Linked DNA regions of Macaca fascicularis. The protein of the gene in region 2 purifies or fractionates together with the protein of the main gene of each other region. This does not show direct contact. Links are inferred from orthologs where the notes say so. Each region holds a gene or a part of one and is shown on either strand. Other genes may lie near its edges. The genes, in order: DCAF1 and PYHIN1.

Region 1 (3,824 bases), on a different chromosome or scaffold from region 2:
CCCAGCTCTGCAGCTGTGGCCATGTAAATCACGTACCTTCTCTGACAGTACAGACGCTGATCCTTGCCTATTACGTAATATTTACAATCACCAAGACCATACATATGAACAAGTGTGCTGTAAATTAAAAATCATATTTTCATGCCTAATTTCTCAGTTTCAAGTCCAAAATTTCAATTCAAGAAATTTTGTTAAGCATATACCATGCACAAACCAACATCAACTTTAGTAAAAAGATGCATCAAACTTCATTTGAAATCTCTCTCTGGTCCCACCTTGCATAATAGGTCTTCCAATTGCAGGCAATAGAAATAAGCTGCAACAAGAGTTGCACACAAGAAAGTTTGAGGAAGACTTCAGCTGGTTCCCAATATAGCTGTGCTGGGCCATATTCTATCAAAAATTCCATCATTTCCACAATCTGTTCATGAGTATATGAGCATGCCTATAAGGAGAGATATACAGTATTATTATTATATATAACTCTACATCTGCCTACTACCTTCTTGAGCGCAGCTCACTGGCCAAGATATTTCATTTTACTTATTTATTTCAAGACAGGGTCTCACTTGGCCGCCCAGGCTGGAGGGCAGTGGCTTGATCATGGCTCACTGTAGCTTCAATCTCCCAGGCTCAAGCTATCCTCCTGTCTCAGCATCCCAAGTAGCTAGAACCATAGGCACATGCCACCACACCCAGCTAATTATTTTATTTTTCGTAGAGACAGGGTCTCATTTTGTTGTCCATGCTGGAGTGCAGTGGCACGATCATAGCTCACTGCAGCCCTGAACTCCTAGACTCAAGTGATCCTCCCACCTCAGCCTCCTGAAGTGCTGGAATTACAGACATGAGCCACCATGCTTGGCCAAGGTTTTAATTAAAAAGTAAATAATAATACCTTTCAAATTCCAAAATTCTTAAGTCAAAAGCCCATATGTGAAATAATGACCATATATTGATTAATCTTTTACCTTATTTATAATTAGACTCACAATATGATTTGTCCAAAAAGATAACAAGTTTCCTTTGTGCATATAAGTTATAGCTCAAGAGAAAGAAGCATCATGTGACTGATTTCTTTTCAATTTGTGACTTTTTTTTCTTAAGACTGGGTTTCACTCTGTTGCCCAGACTGGAGTGCCATAGCCTGATCACATGCAGCCTCAAACCCTCAGACTGAAGTGATTCTTCCACCGCACCCTCCAGAGTAGCTGAGGCTACTCATGCACCACCATGCCTTTTTTTTTTTTTTTTTTTTTTTTGAGACAGTCTGTGCCCAGACTGGAGTGTAGTGGTATGATCATAGCAGTCTTGAACTCCTGGGTTCAAATGATCCTCCCACCTCTGCCCCCGAAGTAGCTAGAACTATAGATGCACACCACAGGGCCCAGCCAATTTTTAAAACTTTTGTAAAGACAGGGTCTCACTATTGTTGCCCAGGCTGGTCTCAAACTACTGGCCTCAAGAAATCAGTTGGTGATTTTTTAAAAAACATGCAGCTACTCATCTATATCCCAAAACATATCAAACTCCACAATGATAGAGAAGTAGAGTTACAAACACATTTTCAGAAAAGAAATTCTGCATAGAAGGCAAATCATCTAGTACTTTTCATACAAAATAGTTCTTTGCCAGGTACAGTGGCTCACACCTATAATTCTAGCACTTTGAGAGGTCGAGGTGGGAGGCCTCTTTGAGCCCAGGAGTTCAAGACCAGCCAGGACAACATAGTTGCACCCCCAACTCTACAAAAAATTTAAAAATTAGCTGGGTGTGATGGTGTGTGCCTATAGTCCCCCAACTACTCAGGAGGTTGAGGTGGGAGGATCACCTGAGCCTGGGAGGTTAATGTTGCAATGAGCTGTGGTCACATCACTGCACTCCACCCTGGGCGACAGAGGGAGACTATCTCAAAAAGAAAAAAAGAAAGCTTTTTTATACACACTTCAGTTAATCTTTTAGTTCTAGAATCCCAGCAACTTACAACTGGAAGCAAAATAATTCCCTGAAATTCACCTATTACATCCATTTTTCAATTGGTTCTGCCTTCAAACAGGGAAGTATACTCCAACAATGGGCATAACACAGAGTCCACTGATCTGAATGTGAGTTTCAGGACTGAGATGCTACAGAGAGGGCTAACAGAACTTTCCCTTTCAAGACAAGGTCCTCTCACCTTGTACGGGGGTTGTGGGTGGACAAGAATGCCACCCTCAGTCCTCTGAAGTGACTGCTTCACTTGTTCCAATTTAATGGCCAGGTGAGCCTCAAAGTATTTGCGCAAGGCCATGCAGGTATGTTTCCCAGTTTGGCGGCTAGCAAATATTTCATCATCACTCAGAAGTGCACCCTGATCTTCCAAATTTAGAATCTCCAAAGTACTGATCTATTAAGATACAAAATATTGGGGTAAAAGAGGGGAAAAGGCAAGAGTTAAGAAAAAAGATTAAAAAATGGGAAAATATTTTAGTAAACTTTTTTTATTTTCCACACACATTCTGCTATGTATCAGTAAACTTTTATGCTTAACAATACTGACAAATATCAAACCATATTTATGTATATCTGTGTATATAACATGATAACAGTAGCTATATGAAAACAAAACATTAAACCCATACCGAAAAATGAACAAGCTTTTAATCACAGCAAAAAATATACAGGCATAAAACTATTGCTTTTAGAAAGATCAAGATCATCAACTGCCAATCCCCGTGATAAGATTACTATATCCAAGGCAAGTCTACAATGGCACAGTGTCCTCAAACTACTAAAGAAAAAGAGAAATTTGTGAAGGAAGGAAAAAAAAAAACAAAAAAAAAAACTTCACAGAAAGAATGGCAGCAAAACTCCTCTAACCAAAAGCTTCCTTTCTTCAAGGGTGTGCTGTTAAAGGGCAGCCAAGACAACCAGGACCCTTAATCCTAGTGAGAAAAGCACTGAAATAATCTCACCAAGTTCACCAGACGACGAAGACCATCATAGCGGTCAAAGAGCTCCAAGACGGCCCGAAATGAGAAGCAAATTGAAAAAAACATGGTAGCATGGCAGCATCCTGAAGCATGAGAACACTCCATTAACCACAGGGTATAGTTCACCACATCAGACAGAACATTGTGGGGATGCATGCAAACCTGCAAAAAAATACAAATAAAGCAATGCTTTTAAATTGTGGGCAAAGGAGCCTCGAACAGGATGAAAAATTCACCAGTATAGATATCTGCAGAATACAATGACCATTTCCAATCAAGTCACTCTTAGTACAAAGTTTAGGTTATAATACAAAGGCAATTTTAGAACACAATCCATTCCGAACCTGAAAACGACCTAAATTTAGATAAATATTTAAATACAACCTATACTTACTAAGTGCCAACAAATATTTACATTATTTACTGCTCACGAGGGCTCCATTATACAGGTATTAGGATTCTCACTTAAAAGAAGAGGAAGAGGTAAGGAACTTCTCCAATGTGATAAAAGTGGCTCAGATTTCTGATCCTAAGTCTAGGAGTTTGGTATTCATTCTCTGGTTAATTCACACACATTTTGATGTCTACTATGGGTCACAAAATGAAACTGTAAAGCATCCCCAGGTTTCCTTGATATTTTTTTCTCTATCTTAGCCATAAGTAATTTTGTATGTACACACACAGATTAGTTTATTACTCCCAAAAGACTACCTATCTTGTATAAACACCAAAAGAAAAATTAAAACTGATATTATTAATAAGCAAAGATAATGTCATAGCTCAAGAAGAAATTACCCATTTCACTCTACCAGAAAAGACACACCAAATAAGAATACTAGAAAAATGTTCCAG
Region 2 (3,824 bases):
TTATATAGGTTTGTGAGGTGAGATATTGTGACTTTTGACTTTTTTATTTTTTATTTTATTTTTTTGAGACAGAGTCTCACTCTGTCACCCAGGCTGGAGTGCAGTGGCGCGATCTCGGCTCCCTGCAAGCTCCGCCCCACAGGTTCACGCCACCGTTCTCCTGCCTCAGCCCCCCAAGTAGCTGGGACTACAGGCACCTGCCACCATGCCTGGCTAATATTTTTTGTATTTTTTAGTAGAGACGGGGTTTCACCTTGTTAGCCAGGATGGTCTCGATCTTCTGACCTCGTGATCCAACTGCCTTGGCCTCCCAAAGTGCTGGGGTTACAGGCCTGAGCTACCACGCCCGGCCGACTTTGTTTTAATTATTTTAACTCAATGATATGACAAGAGAGGAGGTCTTCATACTACCAGGAGCAATGCTTACATTTAAATACTATGTTATCTTTTGTATTATAAAGAATGATGATGTGTTGAATATTCTCAATAGAATGGACACATTAATTGGCTAAATGTACATATCTCAGATATAAACAACAATTTTTTTATAATTTTATTTTGTCATTATGTAATCTGTCAAATGTACTAGAAGTCTCAGTCTGTCTTCAACCCCCTCTCCTTTTTGTTCTTTTACTGCACCTCAACTCCGATATTCTGATATACGTCAATCCACATTAGTAATGGAATGCCATAAGTTGTCAACTTGTTGGCATCTGAAGTGCCAACAATGTCACGGCCAGTGAGTCACAAATTGGGAAAAGGATGTATCAGCTATGACCAAGGTGGCATTCTAATCAAGGTTGGGAAGGGTGGGGATGGTTGCAGCAGGTGGGTGTTCCCTCTTCCCAATTACCTTTTAACTTTTCTCTTTTAAGAGTTTCAGCAAGGTCTCCCAGTGTTGGTATTTCTTTGAAGAATTCTATTAGTTTGCCCAAACCAGCATCACCTGGGAACTTTTCTTCCATCAAGTCAGCAATCTGAATTTTGTCATACTCTTCTTTCATTTTTGGATTAAGTTTTAAATCATTGCTCAGTAAGGACTTAACAATTCTAAAATGATAATCATTGATGACCTCCAATCCTTTTAGTAGAACAATTTTCTTGTAGTTATTTGCCATCTCTAAAGATATAAGTGAGCCTACAAGAGAAAAATGGTAGACAGTGTTACACACATATACAGACAATTTAAAAGAAGATGTATGCCTCTGTGAATGAGTGGCCCATAAGAAAGAGTTGTTCATGAATATGTGTGATAAAGAAGGACTTAATGACCAAATGTGTTACTGTAGAAATTGAGTGTGAAGAACTGTTTCTTTAGGAATGTCCAAGTAATTCTTCCCATTGAATGAGGATAGTTGAATTGGGTCCAGGTGTTAGGAGGAGGTCTGTGAACAAGCAATTGTCTCAGTGTTTAGAGTATGGGCTGTGCAGTGTCAAAGTCCTTGGTTCCTCTTCCCATCCTTTATTGGGGCTGGGGCCTATCCCCCAAAACCTGCCTGTTGTTTCTTAAATCTTCCCACACCCACCACTATGACTGGAGTGGCCTAGGTGTAAATGGGCTGCAGCCTCCCATCTTATATGAATAACTTTCTGCTACAGCACTACAGTTTCATGCTGGGACACAGACCCTATTCTCCTTAACTCTTCTCTTGTCAGCTATCATTAGTATCCTCTTCCTTGGTGTTGGACCCTGCCGTATTTGTCCTCTGTGCCCATAAAACTATCACTTTCCTGGACATCTACATTTTCTCTATTGCAGAACACAGGATTTATTGGCTGGAATATTTTGATAGTTGCTTGATTTTTCTTTTAGGCTCGATTTGTCTATTTCATTTTCATTTAACAGATCCACATTTATCTCTATAAAACACATTTTTATCCCACTGAAATGTTTCAATATTTGCTCATTTTCTTTTCAATACATTCCTTGCTTCTTGTATTGGTTTCAGAAAACTTTGAATAATCTGCATTCTTTTTTCTTTTTTAAACTTCTGGCACTTGTGTGTTCCTTATATCTTACGATTCAGAAGTATAAAACATTTTCATGCTTCATGACTTTGCTAATTCTCTTCTCATTGCCTGGAAAGCTATTCCCACATTCCTCTCTCTAACTACCTCTCCTACAACCTTTAAGACTCAACTGAGAGTTTGCCTTCTAGAAATTTTCAGAGTCCCCTTAAGGACACAGTATTACTCCTCTGGACCTCTTTAGCACCAGTGCACTTTAGCACATGATGACACACAAAGCATGCTATGGATTCCTAATTCCTTTTTAAATTATCACAGCACTTTGTGAGGCCGAGGGAGGCAGTTCACCTGAGGTCAAGAATTCAAGACCAGCCTGGCCATCATGGTGAATCCCTGTCTCTATTAAAAGTACAAAAGTTAGCCAGGCATGGTGGTGGGTGCCTGTAATCCAAGCCACTTGGAAGGCTGAGGCAACAGAATCACCTGAACCTGGGAGTTGGAGTCTGCAGTGAGCAGAGATCATGCCACTGCACTCCAGCTTGAGTGACAAAAGCAAAACTCCATCTCAATAAAAACAAATACCAAAACAAATATTTTAATTATAGAAAGAATGTATTTGTGTACCTCTTATGTAATTAAGATATTTAAATTCCTGGGGCTGTTAATTGCTTTCTTCTTGAGAGAACATGAGTGTCCTCAGATTGAAAAGCATAGAATGAAGGAAAAAATCTATACAAAGACATATAGTGAAACTGAAGCATATAAAAAACAAATACATACTCCATACGCCTCTGAGAATGAAGAATATATCACCTGCAAAGATCCAAAAATTAGATTGAAACTGATTCTCAACAACAAATCTACTTGAAACAGGAGAATGGAATCATTTTTATATAATGCTGGTCCAAAATCCCATATAAATTGCTAAACAAAAAGTTTAGAAATGGGATGTTTTGATTTGTTTTGTGAGTATGACAACACAATTAACTTGCAAAATGAAACCAGATGTGAGATTACAGGAGGCTATGTATGATTTTTATTTATTCCACTTAAACACAAATATTCATATATTTTGATGCTGAAATATTAGTGCTTTTGTTTTTGCAGTAATGACACTGATAACATTGGGGTTTCTAGAAAAATGTGCATTAAATAATCTTTTAAACCTCCAAGTTCTGATTTTCAAAAACATATCGAGCCTCCCAGGTACGAAAGAAATGCTCTCATCTTGTCTTGAAGGAAAAAATAATTTTTAAAACTAGAATTTCAATCTAAACAAAATGATATTTAAACAAAAGGTCCCCGAAAACTATTCTCTGAACCTCAAGGCCTTAGTAGTTTTTCCAGACAAAGATGCACACAGAAACATTTTTGGAAGAACTTTTCAATAGAAAATTAAAAAAAAATTTTTTAAAAGCTGCAGGCCAAAAGACGAGTAAGAATGAAAAACGAACTTGATTATGTATGCCTATGTCTTAAAAAGAAAGCCCTGATCAAAGAAAAGAGAAACAGAAAGTATACCAACATGGTGGAGGGAGGGAAGAAAAAGAATGTGACAGTTTACTAATGTAATTGTCTTAGAGGGTGAGATGGAAATGTAAGTTTAAAAAAAAAGGCAAGTAGGAGAATATAGAAGAGTTATAAATTGAAGTGAAGATAGCAGAAACAGGCCAAAATATGTTAATTATTAGCCTATACATAAAGAGCTTAACTAATTAAATGAAAACTTTTATCAAATTTGATTTAAAATTTCTGTATGTATGTTGTCAGTGAAAGATCACTGAAAAGTGAAAAAGAAATTTAAGTTATCGTGCAAGGAGAAACTAGAAGAAAGCCAGCTTATCTATGTTAGAATC

The links.
Region 1: the proteins of PYHIN1 (region 2) and DCAF1 purify together in Homo sapiens (affinity purification with mass spectrometry; 3 studies listed by BioGRID and IntAct, counting the BioPlex papers as one, with this or other methods). This does not show direct contact. The link is inferred for Macaca fascicularis from reciprocal best matches to the Homo sapiens genes PYHIN1 and DCAF1.

What each region holds. Positions count from the first base shown.
Region 1 is NC_088376.1:114,447,131-114,450,954, forward strand, and holds part of DCAF1 (DDB1- and CUL4-associated factor 1), read right to left. Parts: intron 3,135-3,824; coding exon 2,955-3,134; intron 2,387-2,954; coding exon 2,177-2,386; intron 446-2,176; coding exon 276-445; intron 1-275. UniProt on the Homo sapiens protein: Acts both as a substrate recognition component of E3 ubiquitin-protein ligase complexes and as an atypical serine/threonine-protein kinase, playing key roles in various processes such as cell cycle, telomerase regulation and histone modification.
Region 2 is NC_088375.1:102,138,955-102,142,778, forward strand, and holds part of PYHIN1 (pyrin and HIN domain-containing protein 1), read right to left. Parts: intron 1,139-3,824; 5' UTR 1,119-1,138; coding exon 854-1,118; intron 1-853. UniProt on the Homo sapiens protein: Major mediator of the tumor suppressor activity of IFN in breast cancer cells. Promotes ubiquitination and subsequent degradation of MDM2, which leads to p53/TP53 stabilization.